Xenopus tropicalis: one gene and its partners. The protein of the gene in region 1 interacts with the protein of each later gene in a pairwise test. Links are inferred from orthologs where the notes say so. Each region holds a gene or a part of one and is shown in the gene's direction. Other genes may lie near its edges.

The links.
Region 2: the proteins of cchcr1 (region 1) and fsd2 interact in binary tests that used the Homo sapiens proteins (3 or more experiments, as listed by UniProt). The link is inferred for Xenopus tropicalis from reciprocal best matches to the Homo sapiens genes CCHCR1 and FSD2.
Region 3: the proteins of cchcr1 (region 1) and hsbp1 interact in binary tests that used the Homo sapiens proteins (3 or more experiments, as listed by UniProt). The link is inferred for Xenopus tropicalis from reciprocal best matches to the Homo sapiens genes CCHCR1 and HSBP1.
Region 4: the proteins of cchcr1 (region 1) and card9 interact in binary tests that used the Homo sapiens proteins (3 or more experiments, as listed by UniProt). The link is inferred for Xenopus tropicalis from reciprocal best matches to the Homo sapiens genes CCHCR1 and CARD9.
Region 5: the proteins of cchcr1 (region 1) and mia2 interact in binary tests that used the Homo sapiens proteins (3 or more experiments, as listed by UniProt). The link is inferred for Xenopus tropicalis from reciprocal best matches to the Homo sapiens genes CCHCR1 and MIA2.
Region 6: the proteins of cchcr1 (region 1) and mtus2 interact in binary tests that used the Homo sapiens proteins (3 or more experiments, as listed by UniProt). The link is inferred for Xenopus tropicalis from reciprocal best matches to the Homo sapiens genes CCHCR1 and MTUS2.
Region 7: the proteins of cchcr1 (region 1) and txlna interact in binary tests that used the Homo sapiens proteins (3 or more experiments, as listed by UniProt). The link is inferred for Xenopus tropicalis from reciprocal best matches to the Homo sapiens genes CCHCR1 and TXLNA.

The regions. Positions count from the first base shown.
Region 1 is NC_030684.2:75,158,315-75,161,814, forward strand, and holds part of cchcr1 (coiled-coil alpha-helical rod protein 1), read left to right. Parts: intron 1-316; coding exon 317-448; intron 449-622; coding exon 623-733; intron 734-3,500. UniProt on the Homo sapiens protein: May be a regulator of keratinocyte proliferation or differentiation.
Region 2 is NC_030679.2:105,256,613-105,260,689, reverse strand, and holds the start of fsd2 (fibronectin type III and SPRY domain-containing protein 2), read left to right. Parts: upstream 1-1,277; 5' UTR 1,278-1,469; intron 1,470-4,077.
Region 3 is NC_030680.2:62,632,887-62,636,942, forward strand, and holds the start of hsbp1 (heat shock factor-binding protein 1), read left to right. Parts: upstream 1-1,256; 5' UTR 1,257-1,272; coding exon 1,273-1,317; intron 1,318-4,056. UniProt on the Homo sapiens protein: Negative regulator of the heat shock response. Negatively affects HSF1 DNA-binding activity. May have a role in the suppression of the activation of the stress response during the aging process.
Region 4 is NC_030684.2:6,411,995-6,415,976, reverse strand, and holds the start of card9 (caspase recruitment domain-containing protein 9), read left to right. Parts: upstream 1-1,182; 5' UTR 1,183-1,360; intron 1,361-1,552; exon of another isoform or gene 1,553-1,736; intron 1,737-2,634; 5' UTR 2,635-2,868; intron 2,869-3,982. UniProt on the Homo sapiens protein: Adapter protein that plays a key role in innate immune response against fungi by forming signaling complexes downstream of C-type lectin receptors.
Region 5 is NC_030684.2:90,894,349-90,897,848, forward strand, and holds part of mia2 (melanoma inhibitory activity protein 2), read left to right. Parts: intron 1-268; coding exon 269-427; intron 428-970; coding exon 971-1,105; intron 1,106-2,373; coding exon 2,374-2,420; intron 2,421-2,502; coding exon 2,503-2,725; intron 2,726-3,500. UniProt on the Homo sapiens protein: Plays a role in the transport of cargos that are too large to fit into COPII-coated vesicles and require specific mechanisms to be incorporated into membrane-bound carriers and exported from the endoplasmic reticulum.
Region 6 is NC_030678.2:154,747,922-154,752,017, reverse strand, and holds the start of mtus2 (microtubule-associated tumor suppressor candidate 2), read left to right. Parts: upstream 1-1,296; 5' UTR 1,297-1,614; intron 1,615-4,096. UniProt on the Homo sapiens protein: Binds microtubules. Together with MAPRE1 may target the microtubule depolymerase KIF2C to the plus-end of microtubules. May regulate the dynamics of microtubules at their growing distal tip.
Region 7 is NC_030678.2:86,591,482-86,595,508, forward strand, and holds the start of txlna (alpha-taxilin), read left to right. Parts: upstream 1-1,227; 5' UTR 1,228-1,465; intron 1,466-1,844; 5' UTR 1,845-1,853; coding exon 1,854-1,980; intron 1,981-3,970; coding exon 3,971-4,027. UniProt on the Homo sapiens protein: May be involved in intracellular vesicle traffic and potentially in calcium-dependent exocytosis in neuroendocrine cells.

The DNA.
Region 1 (3,500 bases):
TTTACGCTTGCCGAAAATATCCGCCTACGCCTCATCTGCCATTAGCCTAAAGGGTTGCAATGATAAGGAAGTGCCTGCTTATGTAAATGCTGGGCAGCATAAAAAATAATAAGGTTGCACTCACTAACTGTGTGTATTGTGTTTGTTCTTTCTTACATTATTCTGCATTTGGATTGCTGTGAGCGGTCACAAATTGAATAAATGTTAATAGCTCTCCTTGTTTTATGCTCCGTGTGGCATGATGGCACTGAGACTGCAATCAGAGCTAAATAATTCAGTTAATTTATGCAAACCTAAACATGGCTTTATTTTGTAGGGCGTACCCCAGGATTATGAGAAATTTCAACATCTTCTGTCAAGATGGCGTGAGAAGGTTTTCTGCCTCATGGTTCAGCTTAAATCTGAGGAAATCAACAAAGAAGATGACCATAGAAAAAGCAGAGAAAAAGTAAGAAATGGAAGAATGGTGTTGAATGGAGATTGAAAAAGTTGTGTGCGAGAGATATTTAAAAAGCAGTGTGTCAGTAAACAATGCACAGACATTTCTGTGATTGCAATTCAACTCTCTTTTGTTCTTTGTTTACAGTTACATTTTAGCCGGCTTGTTTTTCATTTATTGTAGATCTTATCCCTGGAAAAAGCTCTGCAAGAAAAAGATCAGGAGCAGATTTTACTTTTACACACCCTACAAGATCGTACAGCTGAGCTGGAAATGGAGAGGGTCCACAGTAAAGTGAGTATGGAACCTTATAAATTGGGCTTCATTGCAGTACTTTTAAGGTTAAGGGCAGTGGTTAGTTTTCCAACAGTAAATAATAAAGCTTCCCAAAATTTCAAAAAATGTTCTATTCGGAACATAAAACTGTTTGTGTAGTTCAGTATAGTCATCAGCCTTTATTTGTGTTAGTTTTATGTTTAATGCAGATGCTTAGGGGCTCATTTACTAACCATCTATTTTTTATTTTAAACTCAATTCAGATATTTTTCGACATTTACTATGCATCTAAACGGCTAAAAATCCGAATTTCATAATTTGCCTGATTAAATTTGCTGAGTTCATGTAGAAGTTAATCGCAAAGGTCCCTTCTCTTAAGGTTCTTTCTTTTATTTCAAAACCTTTGAGATTTTGCAGGGTTTTGTATGAAAACTCGACTTTTTCCAAATTGTTGCAGTAAATTTTTTTAGTAAATATTAGACATTTGGGAAAATCAATTTAGTTGAATTTGAAAATAGAAAAAAGTAGAAATTATGGCATTTTAGTAAATCTGCCCCCTTAATGTTTGTTCTGTATACAGACTAGGGATGCACCAATCCTTAAAATCATGTGACTTTTTGTCTCACAATCGTAGAAGCTGAAAAGTTTTCAGCACACACTACATGCGTGGTTCTCTTTAACCCTTCCTTTACCTAATTTACATATTAATTCCGTATTCGTTCAAATCTTTGGCAAAGTATTCAGGGTTCAGCCGGATCCTAAAATAGTGGATTTGGTGCATCCCTGGTACAGACTTGTTAAATAATGCTTTGGGTGGCTAATGTCAATACTTTTGCATTTAACTTGGTCATTTCATCTAGTGCCCCCACATGGCAAGTCACTTGGCTCATTTAATTAGCTTGTGTGTGTTTGTCCAAAAAATCTAACAAGATGCATCTCTTTCTGCCATTATTTGCACATTGCCATAAAAAGCAAATTATGTCTGACTTTACATTCCCGGCATTCCTGGCTCTGACTCCTGAAACAATGTTGCAAGCAGGCTAATTAAAACGACCTGGAGGTCACTAAAATATTGGCCAATAGGTTATCTACTCTAGCCCCTATGCTAATCCACCCTGACCAGGTGGGTTTTATAACAGGGAGACAGGCTGGAGATAACACCAGAAGGGCAACTGTATTACTGGAGGCAGCACAAAAGCTAGGCAAACCTATGGTATTTTTAGGGTTGAATGTAGAAAAACGTTCTATCGCTTTAGCTGACCTTACCTATTTTCCCTTCTAATACATCTTGCCTTCAAGGGCCCTTTCCTTACAGCTATACAAGCATTATATAACTCTCAAACGGCCCAGCTTAAACTCCTGGGCAAGGGTGCCCTCTATCCCCTCTTTTATATGCTCTAAGTATAGAGCCCTTGGCAGCATATATTAGAGACCACCCAGATATTCAAGGGCTAAAAATCTCCTCCACAGAATACAAAATAGCATTGTTTGCAGTCAATGTACTTCTATCAATAACCAGCCCACACACATCACTCCCTGTCCTCCATAGTATCCTTAGCACCTATAGCAACCTGTCAGGATATAAGATCAATATGGACAAGTCAGAAGCTCTTTCACAAGGTATGCACCCCATGACAGCTGAAGCACTGAAAGAAAAATTTGCCTACAAATGGAAAACAGATAAACTTACCTATTTAGGGGTCTGCCTTACACCTTTTATATAGTTCCCTTCTTAAAGGACATGTAAACCCCATACACAAAAATTTAATCAGTGATCAGCCTCTTTTAAATCTTTCAGTATGTGCCACACTGGTTGTCCAGAGGTTAACAGTTAGGCTTTAACATTGCTTCTCCTCCTGTAACCCACTCGGCCCCCTCCCTCAGGAATTTGCTTTGGCTGTTGGCTTGTGGGCATGCTCAGTTTTTCTAAGCTCAGATTACTAAACATGCCCCCAGTCTAGCAGCCAGTGAAGAGATGGCATTGCTGGTTCCCATAGAAACTCAGCTCTAGCTGTCTGCTTCAATTTTTTTTTTTCCTGAGCTCAGCTTTACCTACAGTGCTCAAACAAAGCAGAACTTTTATCAGAGACAGTTCTGCCTGTGTGAGCCTGTATTGTTGATGAAATTTATGCTGCATAAGGGTTTTTGTGTGTGTGTATGCTGTTTGCAGATTTAAATGTAACTGATTATGTATCAGAGGAAAAATGGCCACCGGGTGAAAGCAGCTATTTGCTTTAGGAAAATGTGATGGTGCTGGCTAGCGGAGGGGTATATATGCAGTACAAATGATGCCATTTGGGTGGGGGTGATGTGCCTAACTGATATACATTGTAGGCAAATGTAGGCTTTACATGTCCTTTAAGCAAAATTATTCTCCCTTGATTCACCAAACAAAACTCACGCTACATAAATGGTCAAACTGGTTTGGTCGTATTGCGGCAATTAAGATGAATATCTTACCTAAATATTTGTATTTATTCGAGACCATTCCGGTGACAGTACCTACTAAAATGATAAAGGAAGTTCTAAGTGCTTTGTAGAAATTCATTTGGGGTAATAAAAGGCCTAGAATTTCCAGATCAATCCTATTAACCAATATGTTACAAGGCGGCTTAGGAGCCCCCTCTATCCAAAATTACCATGATGCAGCTCATTTAAGGTGGATATCCGCATGGTCCCACTATCATACAAGCCCCCTATGGGCTAAAATTAAAAACCCATACCTACAGCCACAACTGATGAGTTCCTGGATCTGGACCTCAGGCCCTTATAAGGCCTTCCCAAA
Region 2 (4,077 bases), on another chromosome or scaffold:
CTTGCCGGTGGGATGGCATTGGGGGAGATTATTCGCCCGCGGTAACAAAGATTTGTTGCAGACTGCATTTCAGAAAATAAAGCAGCATATGATCTAGGAGCAAGCTGTTGTGATATTTCTGCCACATGTTATTTTTGCCACCTGCCACTGCCCTTATGGTTTTAGGATCTCTGAGAAAATTTCAAATATGGGTCTTGCACACAATGTAAATTGCATTACAATGTTCAATAATCGTAGTCAATGTTAGTAATATTGATCAATCTGGCTATTTTATACGATGCCCCTGTGGCCTTGTATATATCCAAGCAAAACTACAAGTATGTGATCAGTCAGATTTTACAACATAGATCTATTGTTAAATTTTGTTTGTTGTGCTGGAATAGGTTGCAAAGTGACAACAAGTTGGTGACTGTACAAACATACTTAAATGCAGAGGTATTTATTTCTTCAATTTTTTTTTTGTTCTGTTTATTTCAGGGGTGATTCTATGACATGAGCCTTTCTGAGATGGGTCTTGAGATGCTGCCCCCACCTTCACCCCCCAGCAATTACCTTTCTTGCACTGGAAGTAGTCTTTGGGGTGCCAGATTGCTAGAGTGCAATTGCACTATAAGAGCTGAATTTCTAGTGCAATAAGTAGGAAATTAGGCTTATAAGATTACCAGGAGCAGATTTTGCCACTCCTGGTAATTACTGGGGCATTGCAGTCTGAGGCAAATTTCTTACTTGCCTCATGGCAGCGTCCCTGTTTTTTTTCTATATTTATATAGAAATTCTTTTTTTTTTACATGCTGTAATTTCCTCCCCTTTTGGGATCTATTAAATGATACTCAGTGTGTGCTGGTCTGTAGACTACAATGGGACCTAAGTTTTTTCTGTATAATATCTATATCATGTGACTGTAATATGTGACTTGACGTGCTATGAAGCTTTGGTAGGCTAATCAGACATTTGCAACTTGATAAAGGGAGTGGATTCTTCAGAAACTTTAACGTCTGGAGCTTGTTTATTACTGTTGTGTGATTTTGTGCAAAGAATAACAGTAATGCTTTGTTGCACTCTCTATATGATTTAAGGGTGTTGATTACCTCTACTGCCATGGATTTACTACTTCAGTGGTGCTGCCATAGGAAATCTTTATAGATATATATATATATATGTGTGTGTGTGTGTGTTAAATATATGTAACAGCTTGCATTTGTCCAGCTCTTGCTCTGACATGTTTGAGACATTCCCGGGCACAAATCTCTGCTTCTTCCCTCTGATACATGAGCAGGGTTAGCAGGGGAAGGACAGCTGGGGGAGATTCTATATTTGTCAGTCTCTCTCACTGCATGGACATTAGTATTTCAGGGCACTTTGTCTAAAATTACTGCTGGCCTTTTCAAGCCTCAGTCCCAGGGACACATCGGCGAATCTACTGTATGTGATTATATATTTTATCAGCAGCGTAGAATCTGGATCAGCAGGTAAATCTTCACAAGTACCATGTATCTTTGTGTGTCCCAGGCTACTTCAGCCTGTGTGTGTAATTTACTGTACAATAATGACTTACTATAGTTTGATAACCCTCTCTAGTAAAATCTAGTAAAATTACTGTTATTATTGGCTGGCCTGTGAAAAAATATGTCAGAATCCAGAGGTCTAATTTTAGCTCATAATTTTACAGTCCTTTATTGATTTACGCTCTGTAACATTTTCCGGTTACATATGATTATGTAAGTGTGAGAACTGTTTCTCTTGTGTCTAACCAACAGAATCTTATATATTGAAATTTCAGCATATAATATTTTAAAAAGTTGTCTTGGGCTATTCTGTGTTGTTCGATTTGTGTAACACAATCAGTGAAGGTAACTGTGCTGTCCAGGGTTACAGATTCAACTCTCAATCTCAGTGTGCACCCCCACCAAAGGTGTAAAACATGTAACCATAAATACTTAAACAAAGCCACTGAGAGAGAGCAGTGCAGTGCTTGCTGCTGAAAAGTGCATTAATTACACAGTGTTACACAGATTTGTGTAACACTGTGTGGCCTGTATTTGAATTCCAATCAGTTCTGAATTATGGCTTTATATTTTTATAAAGAGCAACTAATGCCCTAACTACAGTCAAGGTGCCCATACACTATAAGATCCGCTCGCTTGGCGATGTCGCCAAGCGAGCGGATCTTCACCCTATATCCCCACCTACGGGTGGCGATATCGGGTAGCAAGGGACTTAAAAAAAAATAACATTTGAGTTTATGGGGCAGTCGGTTCGGGGACGGCATCAACGAGCCGATGCGGTCCCCGATCCGACTGGATTTTCTAACCTGGCCGATCGAGATCTGGCCAATTTCAGGCCAGATCTCGGTCGGCCAGGCTGCTCTGTTCTGCCCATACACGGGCCGATTAGCTGCCGAATCGGTCCAAGGGAACGATATCGGCAGCTATAGTCGGCCCGTGTATGGGGGCCTTTATTTTATTTCTACGTTATTTCTTATGAGGATCATGTAACAATTCTGCCATGTTTAATCTGGTTGCTGAAAGGCCCAGTCTATGGATGGCAAATATATAGTATTTATTGTATACCCTACAAGTTACCTTTTTATATAGGATTAGTTTTACCTGCAGTGTATGTCACAGTATCTACTTTTGCAACCCAAGATTTGATATAGAATTTGTTTTAACTATTACATTACTATTACTATGTCTTTTAAATGGGATCATATTGATCAAGCCTAAACTGCAAAGCCCATTCTATGTTCTGATGAAAGAGAAGCTATAAAGTCAGATAAAATTTTCATAATATAGAATTTGGTGTCACCCAAACAACTACTGTATATTATAGTCAGAGATTGTGCTGCATACATACAGTTACAATAAGATATACACTGCTTAGATGAGCTATATTTTATATTTTGACACCTGGCACTCTGGTGAAGTGCACCACTTTAATATGGGTCAAGTATGTCTGCAAGTGCAGTGGCACATCTATATGTTGGGCACAACTATATGGACGTGCAAGAAGAGTATTTTGAAGAAAGTACCTTAATGAATTGGGTTTAATGTGCAACTCAGTGTGGAAAAAAGGGAGTACAACTGTGCTTGCAGTTCTAAATGGCTCCTAAGGACTAGTTATGCCCCTGAAATGCTGTGCTTTGCCTGAATGACCTATACATGTTATCTATAGCGCAATTAGCGCAATTAATTATCGATAGTCTATTTAACAAGTAAGGATATATTTTACAGGTTAGGGCTCTGGCACACAAATCTCCCTGTTCGCGGGCGACTAATCTCCCCGAAATGCCATCCCACCGGCGAAAATGTAAATCGGCGGTGGGATGACATACGCGATTTCCCTGAAATCGTGGAAGTTTCCTCTCAAGGCAACTTCCACGATTTCAGGGAAATCGCGTCAGGGAAATTGGCATTTCGGGGAGATTAGTCGCCCGCAAACAGGGAGATTTGTCGCGGGCGACTAATCTCCCCGTGTACCAGAGCCCTTATTCTAAGATTTGCTTATTACAGTGGTCATTTACTTATTGAATGATTGTTACTGCTGCAGATTACCGCACAATCTGTTGTGTAAAAAAATCCTATTTATTATATTTCAAGGGTATTGTGAAGGCCCCACTCTGGCAGGCTTGTGCTTGGATTCCTTTAACTCACTGTTGTGTCATTGTTGGAACACTGTTGTGTGTGCATTTTGATACTCTTGATACCTTTGATCCTTTTGATTCTCTGTTTCCTCATGTTTTGCCTTCTAAAGGGTATATTTATAACCTTACCTGTTGCTCAAACTTCTGTTTAGAGGATCTACTAAAACTCTTCCTGCTACTCTGCTTTTTCTCTCAACTGATCTGCATAGTTTTTTTTTTCTGCTCTGACCTGGGGTTGGCCTTGAGTACATGGTTTGGGTTATATCCACCTTTCCATCTCTTATATCACCCTGAGTTGTATTGGGTCTCTGCTGGTGCCAGAGCTCCTCAATACCTGTTGAATTGAGCCTAAATAGGTGGAGATGATTCAACTGAAAAATATATTTTCAAAACTACATCTTCAAGGGGTCTACCGTTTTATAAACTTCTAGCAAATA
Region 3 (4,056 bases), on another chromosome or scaffold:
TCTGAGATATGGTGCTGACAGCCTACAGCAGTGTGAAGACTACAGTGACATCACTGAAATCTCTCTTCCCTTCCTGTAGGCTGCCAGCGGCAGCCTTCCTATTCTCTGAGCATGTGTGTAACTTGATCCTGTCTCCTGTTCTGAGCTACACATGCCCACCAGCCAATCAGAAGCGGATCTGGCAGAGGGGAGGGGGGGAGGGAGTGAAACACATGTGCAGTATGAAGCAAGGAGGGAAAGGAAGAGAGAATACCTTTTTAGAGATGGCTGCCTGTTCTAGAAAATGTGAAGTAAGTGTGACTGAGTAAATATTTGATTAGGTGAGCCAAAAGTGTGGCGTTTTTACTAAACAATAGGAGGACTATTGGGCAGTATGCTTTTTAAATTTTGACTTGCATTCTCCTTTAATCTGAAGTCATGTAAAAGGGTATTAAGCAAATAAATGGAAATTCTGTTTAGCAGGGACAAGATCATAGAAGAAAATGTCTAAACAGAAACATTTTCAACTTCCGGGTTTATGTGGCAAAAAGTTTTAAGCATTCCGATTCAGTTCGACCAGAGACATGGGTTCACCAAATCCAAATCCTGCTACAAAAGTCAGAATCCCAAACCAAATCCTGGATTCAGTTCATCCCTACCTACTTCATACCTTACCTTCCTTATATTTACTTGAGGCTGTTGGACCTGGATAATTACTAATACATGTAATCAATTGAGAGACATTGTTTCACAATAGGCAAATAATGCGATATGCTAAAATTAAAAACTGTGACGCTTCATTACATGCATATTGGCTGTATAAGTATATTGAATACTTGGTCCTGCACTATTATTTTTATTCATTTATTTTTTAGTTTCGATTTTAAGGGGTCGAATAAAAAGTGGCCCTGCATTAGGATTGCTTTTCCCGGCAAGTTATGTAACTAAATAATCTTCATCAATACACATGTTTATGTTAAAAGCACCCATGAAGCGGAACAGATCTCCTAGAAACCTGGCGGCCCAACCCAAGCTTCTCAGCGTTGTAGTTCGTTTCCTAAGCGATTCGCTCCTGTCACCATAGAAACTACCTCGTCAACCACATCCGGCAACAACTTTGCGTTTATAGCCTCGTTCTAATACTACTACAACATCCTGTGGGAAATTCCTACTCTTGATGCCTATTGGTCAGCAGTCTCCTGAACTATCGCGATATTTCTTGAAAAAAAGCTTCTGCGGTGAGGGGTGGATTGTGTGGCCGGAAAGGGCTTTGGTATTGGAGAAGGATCCATTATGTCGGAGACAGATCCTAAGACAGTGCAGGACCTGACCGTGGTGGTGAGCGCAGCTTTTAGGGCGCGATGTGTTAATGATTATTAAATGATATAAAACTAGGAGCATGGTCCCGCAGTAATGGCCAGTCTGCTTGCAGATTGGAAGTCGCCTTTGTGGCCCTTCTGCCATTAATGTTTACATCTCCCATCACTCTTTTGCTTCTCTCTTTTTTTTTTTTTTTAATACAATTTTTTGTTTAAACTAGGGATTTACAAGACCTGTCATTTTTGATTCGACCAAATATTGAATCCTTTACAAAAGATTCAGCTGATTATAAAACCACAATAGAATCAGAATCTGTATATGTGGATTTGAGATAAATCTCCAATAAATTACACTAAACTGAAAAAGGGGCACAGCCCAATGCAGTAAAGACTTGGATTTAGTTGGAGCAGCCACATAGATGTGTCCCTATTTTAAAGGACAAGGTTATTTTTTCTGCTCCTTTTAACAAACAAAAATGCACTGGCCCCGGGGAACAACGCAGCTCGGCTTCACCATTTTACCTACCTTTGCAATGTGTTTATCCTAATACAGGTATGGGACCCATTATCCAGAATGCTCAGGATCTGGGGTTTTCCAGATAAGGGGTCTTTCTGTAATTCAGATCTCCTACCTTAAGTCTGCTAATAAAATTATGTAAACCGTAAATAAAACCAATAGGATTGTTTTGCCTCCAATAAGGATTAATTATATCTTAGTTGGGATCAAGTACAAGGTTCTGTTTTATTATTACAGAGAAAAAGATAATCATTTATAAACATTTTGTGAATTATTTGCTTATAATGCAGTCTATGGGAGAGGGTCTTTCCGTAGTTCGAAACTTTCTGGATAATCGGTTTCCAGATAAGGGATCCCATACCTTAACTTGTATGAATCTGAAAATTTTACTCTTCTGTGCATCTGAGTTTAAAGTGAGACACCTGGGAAAATGAAGTAAAAGTGGCATTGCAGTGCTGCATTGCTTAGTGATTTAGTAAGGGCAAGACTTGACTTGATTCGTTTTTAATTTTTGGAGTTTCACGAATCAATTTTTTAACAATAAAAATAGTGTTATCATTGTTAAATATTTGTATGTCATTAGCTGAAAACTTGCTGCTCGGTATATATCCTTTTTGGTTGTGCAAGACTTTAAAATGACCAATAACAAAAAAAAAAAAAAGGTGGCAGTACTTTGTAAATGTATTTAAATCTAATAATGTCTGCTCAGAATTGGCAAGTCATTTCATTCACCATTGTTTTTTTTTTTATAAAAATATTTTTCATTCCTAGAACGCTGTAGAAAGCAGTGAATTACAGTTGACAACCCCATTGGTGTACACAAAAAGCCCATTGTATTCTGAATACTTTATCTGTTGTCTGCTTGGCAAAGTGGGCCCTACGCGTCACTGCGATGTCCCACAGTTGCCCAAAGTTTCCTCTCAAGACAACTTTGGGCGACTTCGGGACTTCGCAGGGATGCATATGCCATCCCACCAGCGATTTACATTCTAGCCGGTGGGATGGCATTGCAGGGAGATTAGTCGCCCTCAGCCCTGTTGTATGTAACAGTACACTTAGAACAGTCAATAACCTTTTGGAACCAAGTGCTGTAATTTTAGGAAACAAACATTTCATTGATTTTGGCTACAATCACCATATATGTTTGGAGAAAAAAGAATAAGGGTCTGAAGAGCACCTTGCCACTAGCTTGTGGATGGTTCTGTTGGGGTTGTGTGGCGAGCCAGTGTGGATAGATGGAAGTATAGATTCTACCTATAATCAAAATGTTTTTGGTCAGTGCACTTCTCCAGGTGTCCCTAGTAAGGATTTAACACTCGTACTTGTGCAGAAGAATTAAATGCACAAACCAGTGACAACTGGCAATAGGTTAGTCACATTGCTGCATTATTTTTTTTCTAAAGGGATGTCCAAAACAATATGCACATAACATGTTTTTTTGTAAGTAAATAGTAATTGTGCTTTAAGATTTGCAAGGATTTCAGGGTTAATACTTTTTAACTGACATGCACGTAGCATCATGCCAACATGATAAAACATACATTTTTGGGGTCTGTGTAACCCTGTGCAAGAATCGCATTTCCTAATGCTGAATATGATGATCTCTTAAAGGGTTAAGTGTGTCGTTCCCTTGTTCCACTGTTAACTAAAGTTTCTCAAGTCCCCACTACCACACTCATTCCTCAGCTCATTATTCCTTCAATGGAATTTCTACCAAGACACAGAATCCTGCAGTAGTAGTTAAAGGAACTTTATCAGGGATCCCTGATAACTGCACATTGCTTCTGCATAAACTTCTTACTGCTCACAACAAAGTAGGTAAATGATCAGGGGGTGCCCAAACTTTTGAACATGACCTGACTGTATGTGGGGAAACCTATATTTGTATTGATCACATATAGCTTATTAATTACGTAATTTGTGACATTCTTATAAAAGTGTATTCTGGAACTAAAGTAGAATTGATTTACATTATATAGCCAAACATATCATCTGACATGAATCTGACATGATATTGTGGTTGAGGGTGCCAGGCCGGTCTTGCAGTTTAGATGTTGCTGTGGGTGGCTTTATATGGAAGGTTAATGCAGGTTGCTGCTGATTTACCTATACACTTGTTCCATAGAGTCATTGTATGGTACTGTATAACTTGACAAGACCAGTTCTGTATTGCGCTGCAATATACATGCTTAGGGTATTACTGCCCATGATTTATGTGTTTATCAATTTATTTGCTCACAA
Region 4 (3,982 bases), about 69 Mb from region 1:
TCTCCCCCATGTACCGCCTGCACCTTGCCTCTCCCCCATGTACCGCCTGCACCTTGCCTCTCCCCCATGTACCGCCTGCACCTTGCCTCTCCCCCATGTACCGCCTGCACCTTGCCTCTCCCCCATGTACCGCCTGCACCTTGCCTCTCCCCCATGTACCGCCTGCACCTTGCCTCTCCCCCATGTACCGCCTGCACCTTGCCTCTCCCCCATGTACCGCCTGCACCTTGCCTCTCCCCCATGTACCGCCTGCACCTTGCCTCTCCCCCATGTACCGCCTGCACCTTGCCTCTCCCCCATGTACCGCCTGCACCTTGCCTCTCCCCCATGTACCGCCTGCACCTTGCCTCTCCCCCATGTACCGCCTGCACCTTGCCTCTCCCCCATGTACCGCCTGCACCTTGCCTCTCCCCCATGTACCGCCTGCACCTTGCCTCTCCCCCATGTACCGCCTGCACCTTGCCTCTCCCCCATGTACCGCCTGCACCTTGCCTCTCCCCCATGTACCGCCTGCACCTTGCCTCTCCCCCATGTACCGCCTGCACCCTGCCTCTCCCCCATGTACCGCCTGCACCTTGCCTCTCCCCCATGTACCGCCTGCACCTTGCCTCTCCCCCATGTACCGCCTGCACCTTGCCTCTCCCCCATGTACCGCCTGCACCTTGCCTCTCCCCCATGTACCGCCTGCACCTTGCCTCTCCCCCATGTACCGCCTGCACCTTGCCTCTCCCCCATGTACCGCCTGCACCTTGCCTCTCCCCCATGTACAGCCATCTTGGAACGACACTTCCCATATGGAGATCAGATGGGATGCCCAGCTTTGCCATGTTTGGGAGTAGCTCGCTGTGGGTATAGGGTGCCAGGGGTGAGACAGTGGCGCATACTGGAGATGGTGCCCCAGGGGAGTCATTTAGTGCGAGGAGGGGAGAGATAAAATCATAGAGAGGAAAGCTTGAATGGATAGACATGGCGGGTGTGATTGGGCCATATACATGGTTGCCCAGATAGCCCAATGGCCTGTGTGAGGGGACAGGGGGGCACATCTGTCCATCCATACACCCCCAAAATAAGTCACTGACAGCAGAACTGGGGCAATCGAAACTGACACCCAAGGCAAATACCTTTTGCCCCCCCCTTCCCCTTTAATCCACTTTTATCCCAATTTTCACTCTCGGAAGACTCCTCCGACCCCCCCCTCTCTTCTCTCCCGGCCTCCAACGCCGACTCCCCAATCCCAGCGGAACGGCCGAGCCACATGCAGCCACCGGAAGCCACGAGCCAATCAGTTCCGAGCACGTGGAATTCCCAGTGACGATCTCAGGCAACCGACATGTCCCAACGGGTCCGGTATCTGCCACAGGTTGGTGACGACCCCCCCCCACCTTTGTTTAGCAGATCCAGGTGTTCTGTGTAAAGGCCAAACCCATTTCCTCTTGGAATTATGGGAAGGTAAAACCTTCAGGATCCTGATTGGAGGGTCCTGTATGCACATATAGAAACCGTAGCCGCTGGGGGAGGAGCTAAATAGTAAGGGGGAGTAGCCAATAACATTGGGGGGGGCTGTATCCGTGTGGGTTGATTTTGGGAGCAGGTTGGCCGAGTGTGTGCGAGGTCAGCTGACCTCTAATGGGTGCAATTAAGCCAATTAGTGAGCACTGTAGGCATCCGCCGGTCTCTATTAATTGCCCCACCCGGCCGTGCGTTCTTGATGAATAAGTCCTTCCCCCGTGGGTAAGGTAAGTCGCTAATTGCCCTCGTTACTTACAATTAAATGAATAATTACAATTAAAGGGAAAGTACACCTTCTTTAGCCACGTGAGTGGTGTAATGTGTCCGGATGCCGAGGCTGAATGCCAATCAGGGTGGAATGTGGGCTGTGTGGCATATTTGCTCTCCTCCGAATTCTGATAGGGTGACTTGCCATACCTGGGAAAGGGGGGGGAGCTGGGCAAATGCTGCTCGTAAAGGGGCGGTTTACCTTCAAGGTAATTTGTGTATGTTATAGAATGGCCATTTCTAAGCAACTTTTCAACTGGTCTTCATTATTTATTTCCTATAGTTTAAATATTTGCCTTCTTCTACCAACTCTTTGGGGGTCACTGACCCCGGCAGCCGGAAACAATTGCTCTGTGAGGCTCCAGTTTTATTGTTATTGTTACTTTTTATTCCTTATCTTTCTATTCAGCCCCTCCCCTATTCATATACCAGTCTCTCATTCAAACCACACCCTGGTTGCTAAGGTAATTGGAGCCCCAGCAACAGGGTCACTGACCCCGGCAGCCAAAACCTATTGCTCTGTGAGGCTCCAGTTTTATTGTTATTGTTACTTTTTATTCCTTATCTTTCTATTCAGTCCCTCTCCTATTCATATACCAATCTCTCATCCAAACCACTCCCTGGTTGCTAACATAACTTGGACCCTAGCAACCAAATAGCTGCTGAAACTCCAAACTGGAGAGCTGCTGAGCAAAGTGAAATAACTAAGAAACTACAAATAACAAAAAACGAAGACCAATTGCAAGTTTTCTCAGAATAGCACTCTCTGCATCACTAGAATATTGCACTGTTTATTGCCCGGTGGCTCATTGGTCATTAACGTTCCTAACCTCACTGCCTCTCCATGTGACTCCCCAGCAGCAGCAGCCGTGCAGCCAGTAATGGGAAGTGATCTCTGCAGACTGTGAAGCTGCACTGTGGTATGCGACTGTGTGCAGACCAGGAAGTCATTTCTACACAGCCGCCTTCGCCCCTCCCAAACCCCCGTGCTCTACACCTCTCCTTCTCTCCTTGCCATTCCTGCTCTCTGACATGGGACGGAGTAAGACGCTTGGCTGAAAGCTCCCAGACGGACCAACTGTTCTAGAAGAGGTGAGCTTACCCTTTATTGTAACCCCCTCTCCCAGGCCCCAGAGAGTTAATCTGATCTCTCTTTCTTATCGAAATATATATAACTTTGCCTTTAATTCAGTGTAACTACTGCGGCTATTTAGAAACTTATGCTCTGTGTGTATTTAGCACTTACCCTATCTAACCCATTCTATAGCACTGGTCCAGTCTGCAGGGAGGCAGAATTGTGTACAGAACCATGTACAGAATTGAATTTTGTAGCTGGACCATGTACAGAATTGAATTTTGTAGCTGGAACCATGTACAGGATATAATTTTGTAGCTGAAACCATGTACAGGATATCATTTTGGAGCTGGACCATGTACAGAATTGAATTTTGTAGCTGGAACATGTACAGAATTGAATTTTGTAGCTGGACCATGTACAGAATTGAATATTGTAGCTGGAACCATGTACAGAATTGAATTTTGTAGCTGGAACCATGTACAGAATTGAATTTTGTAGCTGGAACCATGTACAGAATTGAATTTTGTAGCTGGACCATGTACAGAATTGAATTTTGTAGCTGGACCACGTACAGAATTGAATTTTGTAGCTGGACCATGTACAGAATTGAATTTTGTAGATGGAACCATGTACAGGATTGAATTTTGTAGCTGGAAACATGTACAGGATATTATTTTGCAGATGGAACCATATACAGAATTGAATATTGTAGCTGGACCATGTACAGAATTGAATTTTGTAGCTGGAACCATGTACAGAATTGAATTTTGTAGCTGGAACCATGTACAGAATTGAATTTTGTAGCTGGACCATGTACAGAATTGAATTTTGTAGCTGGACCACGTACAGAATTGAATTTTGTAGCTGGACCATGTACAGAATTGAATTTTGTAGCTGGACCCTGTACAGAATTGAATTTTGTAGCTGGACCATGTACAGAATTGAATTTTGTAGCTGGACCATGTACAGAATTGAATTTTGTAGCTGGAACCATGTACAGAATTGAATATTGTAGCTGGACCATGTACAGAATTGAATTTTGTTCCTGGAACCATGTACAGAATTGAATTTTGTAGATGGAACCATGTACAGGATTGAAGTTTGTAGATGGAACCATGTACAGAATTG
Region 5 (3,500 bases), about 16 Mb from region 1:
ATATTTATATCCTTAAAAATCTGAGATTTGATATTTATGTCTGGGCTTCAGTATCTAGTGAGGTGGGGTTTTTTAGGTGTTGCAGCAAATGGTTGGTTAGTGGAAATGAAAAGGTATAGAACAGGCAAAGTATGCATCTGTAGTTATTGCAAGATAGGACATTAAAGGGTACATATCAGTGAAAGGTGTAGTAATGGCATATATCTGTTGCTTGTCTTTATGCAGTTTATTTATGTATGTCAAAATAATTCACTTTCTTTTTAACAAGGTGTGAGACCTCCTGGATATTACCCAGCACATGGCGGAGTTAAAGAACGTGGGGACATAAATGCTGATCGAAAGGCAGATCAGCAGCGCACACATTCTGATGCTGGTTCTTTATCACCTCCATGGGAGAGAGACCATAAAGCCAGTATGCCACCACCAGGTAAAAAATATAGTGCCTTCTTTAAAGTGGGCAAAGTGACAAAAAAAATAAAATAAATAAATATAAACTCCTTGAAGGATTGTTAAATTGTCATATATAAGCTTCTTGGTTTAGCATGGACCTCAGGGCGCCATCCAGCTGTAGGATCCATTTGATGAATTCTTTTAATTTGTCCATTTAACGCAGTAGAAAAGTACATGAACATTATTTAAAGACAAGGACATTCAGGTGAAGCTTTGAAACACAAGATGGGGATAATATTAAAAACGCAAACCCTAGTCCCTTTCTTAATGGAATCCTGGTGCTTATTCATGTGGCAACCACTCAGTGATAAGGAAAACACAAATGCACATTGGAGCAAGTACAAAGTGTGTCCATATAGTTTTATCAGGTTCTGCCACCTTGTGCTTTTTCTAAGCCTTGGAACATTGGGATTTGACAGTGTAATGCTCACAGTTTTTTTTAAAACTTAAACAACATTGACCTTCAAATAGATTTTGGTGTATATTAATAATTATAATATTTAATGCTAAATTTTTCCAGGTTTACCATATCCTGAGCTACCCTTCCCATCTAGAAGGCCAGAAAGATTTTATCAATACCCTGTATCATCAGGACGATTTTCAGGACCAGCAGAACTCACTAGAAATCAGGGGATATCTTTCACAGATCTGCCAGGTATGCTACATGTAGAATATTTCCAGTATATGACTGCCACACTTAACAGTCAAAATTAAGGTTACAAGATTTTCAAAGTGAAATCTGGTGACACATGTTGAGGTTAGGCTTGCAAAGCACACCCCACAAGTTTTTTTGTAGGTCTTACCATAAAACAATAATACAACCAAGCCATAAAGTCAAGGTATATTTCATGATTACCAAACTAATCAGATGTGTAGCAGTATAAATACAGTGCTAACTTCATGTTTAATTTTGCTAGGTTACTTAGCAGTATAAATGCAGTGCCAGATTCAGGTTTTAATACCCTCAGAACTTAAAGCAGTATAAATGCAAAGGCAACATCATATTTAATGTCCTAGAACAAAAGGAAGGAAAAACCCAAATTGTCCAACTGTCCAGTTTCCCTCTTAAGTCAAAGACCCACTTGCAACAAGAAAGGAAATTATGTTATAGTTATTGCTAGCTTCATTGTTTATCAAAGTGAATATGATATCTCTAATCACAAATGTCCAGCTGGCCTGCTTTCCTCTATAATTCTCTACATCCCTCAAAAACCAAATGATATCTTATAGATAAAACCACATATTACATTTTATTTAAATATCTTTAAAAAAAAGTACTTCCCTTTCTCATAAAAACGTAAACAGGAGGATACAAGAGGGCCCCCCCCCTACTGCTAACAATGTGCTACCAATTAAAATAGAAGTAATGGGGTATCACCAAGCACAATTTTTAACCACAGTATTGAATTCAAAAGTTCCAAATGGTAAAAAGGCTAGTAGAATCAATCCTGGTACTCGGTTATACCAATATCCAGTGGTTTTCAAGATCAGTGGCATTAAATAAAGCCCAGTAGTAGACTGTGCAGCCTCTAGGTAGAATTGTAGTTCAACAATGGCTGTACAGGGATACAAACACTTTTTTGAAAATTACTCTCCCTGTTCTATGACCAGTATAGCTCCTGTGAGGGAAGCTTATTCAATCATATTTGTCACAAAGTTACTTATATTGTACTTCCGTTATGAAGTTGAATAAACAAGTAGCACCCAGGTTTCCACAGCATAACTAGTCCATAAAATTATACTTATCCAGTGTATGGCTGTATGGCTGTTAAACCTTCCAGGACATCAATAATAGTTCGTTGGGATACCAGTAGAGTCCCAGTGGCATAACAACCCTGCATCGGGAAATCCCGGAACCCTACCAAATTAAATGAGTTTATACTTGAATATGTGGATAACTGTTTCTTTCCTTCCATGGTTTAGATGGTCAATCAGCTAACACAATCAGGAATGGATCTGAAGATAATGATGTATGTATGCAGCCATGTGGTATAAACTTTTCAGTGATTCTCTGGAGAGGCAATATATGTAGTATTTCTGTTTATCTTGCAGACTTTACATGGTAGTTCCAACCAACCACTTCTTAAAGAGGGGGAAACAGCTGATGTACCACCAATGGCATATGCAGTCCATCCCCTTCCTCCAATGCGGGTTCCTTTATTACCAATGGACCCTAGAGGACCTTATTTTAGAAGACCTTTTCCAATGCAACCACCTCCAGTTGACATGTACCCACCACCAGAATACCCAGGAATACCACCAATTCATGCTACAAGTAAGTAGTTAATTGTTTTGCTGCTTGTACTGTTATGGTAAACCACACAACAGAAGCAGCATAGGTAACAGCTCTCTCCAATATCTCACAGAAATCTTAACATGGATTTAGTATATAGTTTAATTCTTCTACAGTTCATCTATTCTTATTCTTTGAAAGACAGTAACAGTAGGAGGTATAGTCTTTACTATAAAAATGGCAAGATATCCAAACTTGTATATCACATTTGCATTAAATGCACTTTGGTAAGTTTAGCGTGCATATCTCTATTTTATTGTATTTGAAGGGATGGTTCATTTGAAAATCATACGTCCTAACGCTCATCCAGGTTAAATAAAGTTGAAATCAGTTAGTTTACACTCTGTGTTGTCTCAAACACCTGGGATTAAGGGCCCTAAGCCCATGGGAACTGCTATAGTCCTCTTGTAAATGATTTCTTATTGAAACACATTTCAATGGGTGATGGGGGAATCATATTACTAAAAACCTGTGGTAGTGCACAATCCGTGACTGTGCCGTCGGTGTAGTCGGTTAATCCCAGGGTCGGTGACAGGGTAGCTCGGAAAAAGAGCTGCTGAGCTGACATCCTGGCATGATGGCTGGAACTAGGGGTAGACTACGTGTGCGTAGAGTAGAGCCCTGTACATCTACCAGTAATTATAAAGAATGATTGCTACGTGTATGGCCAGCTTACTGAAAGGAAATCTTTTAGCATTCCCTAATACAAAGTTTAGATGAAATGTGTCTAAATATTTTCAAGCTCGTGTTTTGCTTG
Region 6 (4,096 bases), on another chromosome or scaffold:
CATCCCAACTAAAATGCATGAATCCTTATTGGTGGAAATCCTATTGGGTTTATTTAAAGTTTAAATGATTTTCAGCAGACTTAAAGGAGAAGGAAAGGTAAAAACTAAGTAAGCTTTATCAGAAAAGTCTATGTAAATACAGCCATAAGCACTTACAGTAATGCTGCACTGAATTCTCTGTCAAAAGATTTCTCGAGTCTGTAATTAATGAGAGACACGCAGCTCTCTGCTCTCTCCCCTCTCCTGCTTCCCCCTCCCTCAAGAATGCTAAGAACTCACTCCCACCGAACTCACTCTGTATAACAGATCCTATGCCTATACTAAGTGTCGAATCCACAACCCATGCAGGGGCCCCTGCAGCAGCCCCCACAACACCTGCAGGGGGCGCCACCTGCCCAACCCCCCTCCACCGAGCACCCATTAATTAAGCTTAACTTCAGCGCATTGGGGGAGGGAAATAACTGGACTAGGGGTGCTCCGGTGGGGATTGGGTCTGGGCCGGCAGGGCCCACTGGCTCAGTCCGACACTGCTTACACTAAACCCAAGAAGTAAGCATCCAGCACTCTACAGGACATGGGATGGATGTCATTCCAGGGTGTGACTATGACATCAGGGAGTAGGGTTATGATGTGGCAATCAGTGATTGGCTGATCATCACACCATTTAATTTGAAGTCCTGTCCAGATTTCCTAATTTAGTAGTTTTTACCCAAACAGTATCGGAAAACTGGGCTGCCTGGGTAAAAACTGGACAAGTGGCAACCCTACCCTACTTTACCTGTGTACCTTAAACAAAAACTTTAAAAGTTTTGGGCATCACATGTATAACATATGTTTATATAAAATATCTACACTTTGTAAACAAATGCTGGCAATTAGTATGTATGAATCCATTATAATAAAATAGCAATAGTATATACCCTGCTAATGCTCTGTCTCCTTGTCCTTAACTGACCCCATTATCCCAGTTTATTCCTAGCGCAGCTGCTAATAAGGTCGCCTCAGCAGCTACCTGGCAGCCATTTATTAACTGGGGACTGTTACCCTCACCAGACACATCCAATAAGTGTCAATATCGATGATATCTATAGAAGTGTGCAAGGATAGAGACTAAGGATACAGAGAGCAGCCACAATAAAAAGAAGAGATAAAGGAACAAATCTCTATCCTGACTCCATTCTCCCATCTGCTCTTTTCTGGTTGGTTTACCCGAGCGCAGTTCCCAGTAGGGCCAGCAGAGGGCGCCGCGGCTCCCCAATCGTAGTATAAACAGAGAGTGCTGATGCAGCCAGCGGATTCGCTCGGGATGAGCGAGGTTGGACCCGTCGCAGCTGCTTCTTTGCATCCTCAGGGTCGCTGGTCAGAGATACTGCAGGCTGTGGATGCGCTTAGGAGCGAACTCTCCCCTCTGTGACACTGCGTTAGATTGGGAGCAGGAGGGCAGCAGGGGAATAGCCCCAGCAGCAGCAGCCCCAGCAGCATCTCCCTGGAACCCTCCGGCGTGGGCTCTTTGTCTGTGCAGGGAAGGGGGCGCCTCCCCCCAAGGTAGAGATCCCCTCTCCGGAGCCCTCACCCACTGGCTGGGCACTATGCGTGGGAGCAGCACAGGAACAGGTAAGGGCATGAGTGGGAAGGGGAGGCAATTCCAGCATTTGCTTCAGTACTGGGGGCAACTACAGGGGCTGCAGTGCATACAGAGCATGAAGCATCCTCAGTCTGGCACAACATCCCTTTTACTTTTATACTGAGAAGTGGTACCTTGTACTTCAGCACCAACACCTAAACCTTAATGGGTTATGTATAAAGGTCCAGTCCCTGGGCCAGTACATCAGGCTATATAGTGTATTGGCTTAGTAAGATGAGGTGTTATTGTGGCCCCTTGATATTATGGTAAATGACTTCTGGGCAGAAGTGTGTTCCCTGCCTGTACCTTATATGTACAGCCCTATTCTATGTTTCACTTAGGGAGCCGGGGTCCCCCAGCTGTTATTAAATGATATGGACAGCACTCCCCTATTCATACAAGAATGGCTATGGCAAATAGCAGTGTAAGCACTTACCCTTTACACTGCCCTTAATAGTCACTTTTTTGAAACTTGAAGAGAGTTATATAAGTGTATAAATATTTGTGTACATTTGACTCCATATTGCAACATTGTTTACTATATATATATATATTTATAATATATATATATATATATATATATATATATATATATATACAGTATATATATATAGCAACATTGTTTGACTATATAGCAACATTGAGTGCAATTCTTATTGTATGTAAGTATAGTCCTAATTTACAAAAAAAGAGTTCTTAGATAAAAGGAAAGGGGAGAAGGTGATTATTTTTTGCATTTGGAAGTACTGAAGTGCGGAAGTACTGGAGTTGAGACAAATCCATAGTTTTATGTGGGAAGCTATTCAATAGGATTGACAAATCTACTCTTACATTTAATGGCTATCAGCATTTGCAGAGTTCTGTGATAAATAGACTCATCGATTACAGTGACACAAAGACTCATCTTGTTGGTTCTGTACTGTGAAATTAAAAGTTTCTGCATTCAGAAGGGAATGAGGAATACTTAGGGACAAGTTGGTTGTGCCGGAACTTGCATCAATGAAGTATCTCTTGTCACCAAGACAATACTGATAGTAATGCTTTCTGTTCAGTTTCACTTCCAGAGCCTACTGGAAGCTGTCATCTCCACTGCTACTATAGGCACCATCTCTCCCTACTATACCTGCTATCCCACAGCCACAGTCCCTTCCCAGAGGCTATTATCCCCCCACTGCTACTATAGGCACCATCTCTCCCTACTATACCTGCTATCTCACAGCCACAGTCCCTTCCCAGAGGCTATTATCCCCCACTGCTACTATAGGCACCATCTCTCCCTACTATACCTGCTATCCCACAGCCACAGTCCCTTCCCAGAAGCTATTATCCCCCCACTGCTACTATAGGCACCATCTCTCCCTACTATACCTGCTATCCCACAGCCACAGTCCCTTCCCAGAGGCTATTATCCCCCACTGCTACTATAGGCACCATCTCTCCCTACTATACCTGCTATCCCACAGCCACAGTCCTTTCCCCGAGGCTATTATCCCCTCACTGCTACTATAGGCACCATCTCTCCCTACTATACCTGCTATCCCACAGCCACAGTCTGTTCCCAGAGGCTATTATCCCCCCACTGCTACTATAGGCACCATCTCTCCCTACTATACCTGCTATCCCACAGCCACAGTCCCTTCCCAGAGGCTATTATCCCACTGCTACAATAGGCACCATCTCTCCCTACTATACCTGCTATCCCACAGCCACAGTCCCTTCCCAGAGGCTATTATCCCACTGCTACTATAGGCACCATCTCTCCCTACTATACCTGCTATCCCACAGCCCCAGTCCCTTCCCAGAGGCTATTATTAGTGATGGGCGAAAAGTTTCGCCAGGCATGGATTCGCGGCGAATTTCCGCGTTTCGCCATTGGCGGATTGTTTCGCGAAACGGATGAAAAATTTAACCACGGAAAAATTCGCCGCACGTCCAAAAATTGTCGCCGGCGTAAAAAAAGAATAGTCGCGGGCGACAAAATAATAGTCGCGGGCGACGAAACAATAGCGCGCGACAAAATAATAGCCACGGGCGACGAAACAAGAGCCGCGGGCGACGAAACAAGAGCCGCGGGCGACGAAACAAGAGCCGCGCGACGAAACACGAGCCGTGCGACGAAACAAGAGCCGCGGGCGACGAAACAAGAGCCGCGCGCGACGAAACAATAGCCGTGCGACAAAATAATAGCTGCGGGCGACTAAATAATAGCCGCGCGACAAAACAATAGCCGCGAGCGACGAAACAAGAGCCGCGCGACGAAACAAGAGCCGCAGGCGAAGAAACAAGAGCCGTGCGCGACGAAATAATAGCCGCGCGACAAAACAATAGCCGCGGGAGACGAAACAATAGCCGCGCGACAAAATAATAGCCGCGGGCGACAATTTTTTTTGTCGCACGACATTTTCGGCGTTTCGCGGATCTTTTCAAAGATTCGCGAATTTTTCGGCGAAGCGAAACGGAACAGATTCGCTC
Region 7 (4,027 bases), on another chromosome or scaffold:
TAATCATTGCAGCCCAATTCTTTTCTTCTGCATAGACCCCCACCTTTACCGTCTGATGTCCCATAACATCCAAAAATTTATTTAGAGCTTTGCCTTCAGTTAATACTAAGGTACCTTAAAAGTAGTATAAATAATGCTGTAATAATTGTAAATGTGATACCATGAAAGTATACTGTGATATGGGAAAGGAGTGCGCCAGCAGTAGTCATGAGGCCCATACTACTAAGCAGGACCCTCCCCTCCAATTATTTGCCCACTGGTCACACAGGGACCCTGCGTGGTAGGCCCCTGCCACCTACCAGCATATTTATTTTATTTTGTGCCCAAATAAAAGAAATATGCCCCTTAGCATATTAGCAGAATTTTTAATTGATTATATTTTTAAAGTTTTTTTCATTTCCATGAGATAAAACTATTACATTTTCATTATAGTTGGGCTTGGCGTGGTTTTGCTTGTGCCTGCAATTGTGTCAGGCGCAACGTCCCTATGTGAGAACAACAATGCTGGAATTCTGAGGGAAAAAAGCTGCATTTTGGAAAAACAGTGAGTTCCACAGTAAAATCGCAGTTAGCAAGGCCGCATTGAAAACAAAATGGGCCACACGTTTTTGAGTGGGTGACCCCCACTAGCAGCCCCATCTTGCTAATGTCTTTGTTGCTAGGGCCACTAGGATTTTATGAAATACTGGGGGTCAATATGTTATTAGTTATGGAAACAATGTTTGAGGTATCATTATTCTTGTGACTGACAAACTAACAATGTTAATAAAAAGAAACGGTATCAAGGGCATATTATTTCAATTTAGAAATGTTAAAAAACTTTCAATAAGCCTTTGCTTTATTTTTATAAATATAACCTGTTTAAAACGAGAAAACTATATGAACAGGGTCAAATCAAGGGTCACAGTTTAATGAATCTTAGTTATATATAACAAACGAGCGCACAAAAAGGTGGTACTCATGCGTACGACTGCGCACAAACAAGGCTTATAGGGAATTGTAGTTTTTACTTTCGCGCCTTTGCTACCGCCCTATACAGTTTCTGTTTCCTTATAATCAACAGCAGCGCCGATAAATCTTGCTTCCGAACGCAGAGGTTTCCGTTAGACCCGCCTCTGAGAGCGCATTGGCCTTTAGGCTTGTTGGAGCTGCGTGTCATTGGCTAAGAAGTGTCCGGCTTGCGGCCTGGATTTGTGCCTGTGCCTGTGGCTTCCGGCAGAGAGTGAGCGTTACCGGAGCGGATGCAAGAGTGAGGTAAATCCGGTTATTAATCGTGTCCTCCGGGAAAAGGAGTCAGCGCAACCTCACTGGCAGGGACAACAACTTTGTGTGAAACAAGTGTACAGTTCAGCGCTTACACAAGGAACAGACCAGAACTACATCATTTGTCATACTGCTGCATCGCTTGAGGTGCAGCTTCCGTGTGTAGAGCGACAAGGACAACATACAAGTTTGCTGACAACAGGTAGCATGTAGTGGCCCTGCATAAATAAAACAATTAAGAAGTATAAAATGTGGGGGGATGCAAATCTTCAGTTTAGGTGTGGAGTGCCCATTATGCAGACTAGTAGTTGCCCCAAAACCTACATTAGTAAGGGTTGTCATGGCATGGGCCGGACCTGGAGTTACTCTGCACATTGAGCTATGCATATCCAATGTGCCAGCTTATGAGTTATCTATTTCTAGGTGGTTAACTACTTGATAAGTTAGTGGTTAATGCTAACAAGGTTCATTGATTGAATTGTTTTATACCTACAAACATACAGGGTTAACTAGATTCTTAAGAAAAAAACGTGAAGTTTCTTGTTTACATGCCATACTTTGCTTCTGTTACCTTTTGTTAGAAGTGAGTCATGAAGGACCAAGAACTGGAGAATGGCACAGCCAAAGGGCCTTCCCCTACCTCATCAAGCCCCTCACTTCCTCCAGCCACAGATGAGAACGTGACTACACCTGGAGTTTGTCACCCTGCTACTGAAGGTTAGTAGTAGCATTTTTTTTATAGTGGGTGTCGGATTTTTTCAGTTCTGCCTTCCAGCATTGAAGATTCAACCTTTGGTCAAGACCTTCTTTAGTTCATTAAAGTTATCAGTCATTTAGACTATTCTCTCAAGCTCCACCCTGTAGCCTGATTTTTAAATAAGTGGTATATGTGTTTACAAAATAATAAAGTAAAAGAAAAGGAAAAGGGGAAACTAAAATGGAGGGAGGTAAAAGGGGAAACGAAAAGGTGCAATAGAAGGGAGAGAAAAGTACTTCACTAACAAATGCTGTTTATATACATGAGGGATACCATTCAACTAAGCATAACTCTTACTAGCCCTTTCCCAGGATAGCCACACCCAAAGAACAGTCACAGCTAGGTTGATGTTGTATGATGACCCATAGAATTCTCCAAGTTAGTAGTGTCCTTTAGATGATTAGTTTCCCAAATAATGGTATTAAAGGAACAGTAACGCCAAAAAATGAAAGGGTATAAAAGTAACTAAAATATAATGTGCTGCTGCCCTGCACTGGTAAAAGTTGTGTGTTTACTTCAGAAAGTCTACTATAATTTATATAAATAAGCTGCTGTGTAGCCATGGAGGCAGCCATTCAAAGGAGAAAAGGCACAGGCACATAGCAGTTAACAGATAAAACACTATTGTATTCTACAGAACTTATCTGTTATCTGCTATGAAACCTCTGCCTTTTCGCCTTTTTTCCAGCTTGAATGGCTGCCCCCGTGGCTACACAGCAGCTTATTATATAAATTATAGTAGTGTTACTGTAGCAAACACACCAGTTTTACCAGTGCAGGGCAACAGTGCATTATATTTTTATTACTTTAAAGCTCTTTCATTTTTTGGTGTTACTGTTCCTTTAAAGGTGTCATGTAGGTTACAGTGTTGTACAGACTGTGATTCTCATTCTTGAACTTTATTCCCATGGTCTAAAAACCTGTTCTACCACCTTGAGGGTATGAGCAAATTGCTATTCATTGCCTTTTCGCCCTGCTGGGCATCCTTTTGTTGTTGTTCCTTTGTTTACAGTTGTTGCCTTCACTTCATACTGGTCTGTGGGTCTCCTCCTTGTCCATCACAGGTGTATCTAATTCACACAACAGCGTTAGGAGATAGACTTAAAAAGTAACTGCATTTTATGATGTGATAGCCCTTGGTCAGCTGTTGCACTGTTCCATCTGTGTTTATATTATACACTACCCTGAGATCAGAGTCACTGTTAACGCCTTAGGGTTGTGACACACTGGAAGATTAGTCATGCGCGACTTATCTCCCCGCAATGCCATGCCACCGGCTAGAATGTAAATCGCCGGTGGGATGGCACTGCGGGGAGATTAGTCGCACCACAATAATGGAGATTTGTTACGGAGCAACTAATCTCCCCTTATGTCACAAACCTTACATGATTCATAAGTTCAGGAACAACTCTGATATGGAATATTACAAAGGCCCATATATTTCCATGTCAGACAGTCAGGTACTTGGCGCGGTCCCAGTGGTCAATCAGCCTGAGCTGATATGGGTCTAAAAGGGCAAGATAGTCAGATCTGACCCACCACACAGTGGGTTCAATAAGCAATTCTGAATTTGTGGCCTGATCTCTTTAGTGTGTACATATTTATGGCCAGGTTAGCGACTTTAACTTTAATAACTTGGAAACTTGCTAGGTGAATTTACAACACAGGTGTAGAATTAACTCCGATGTAGCAACAAGTCCTATCAGGTAGGACTTGTTTTCATTTGTTTCATTGCAGTTAACCTTTCAGAGGTATATAGTGCTTTATTAATATAGCTTACTGCTTCAGTGTAAAACTTCACCTGTATTGTGAATTCCTCTTAATTAATTCAAAATTGGTGTGAATTCTGCTTTACTTTTGGTTATTACTTTTTGGTTATTACTTTACTTGGTTATACTATCAATTTTACCGATTTAAAATCAGCTGATGTGTTGCCTGGTTGTCTTACAGTGGAAGGAGCAGCTGGTAATTCTGTTACTGTATGTGATGTGTCTGAAGAGTTAAGTA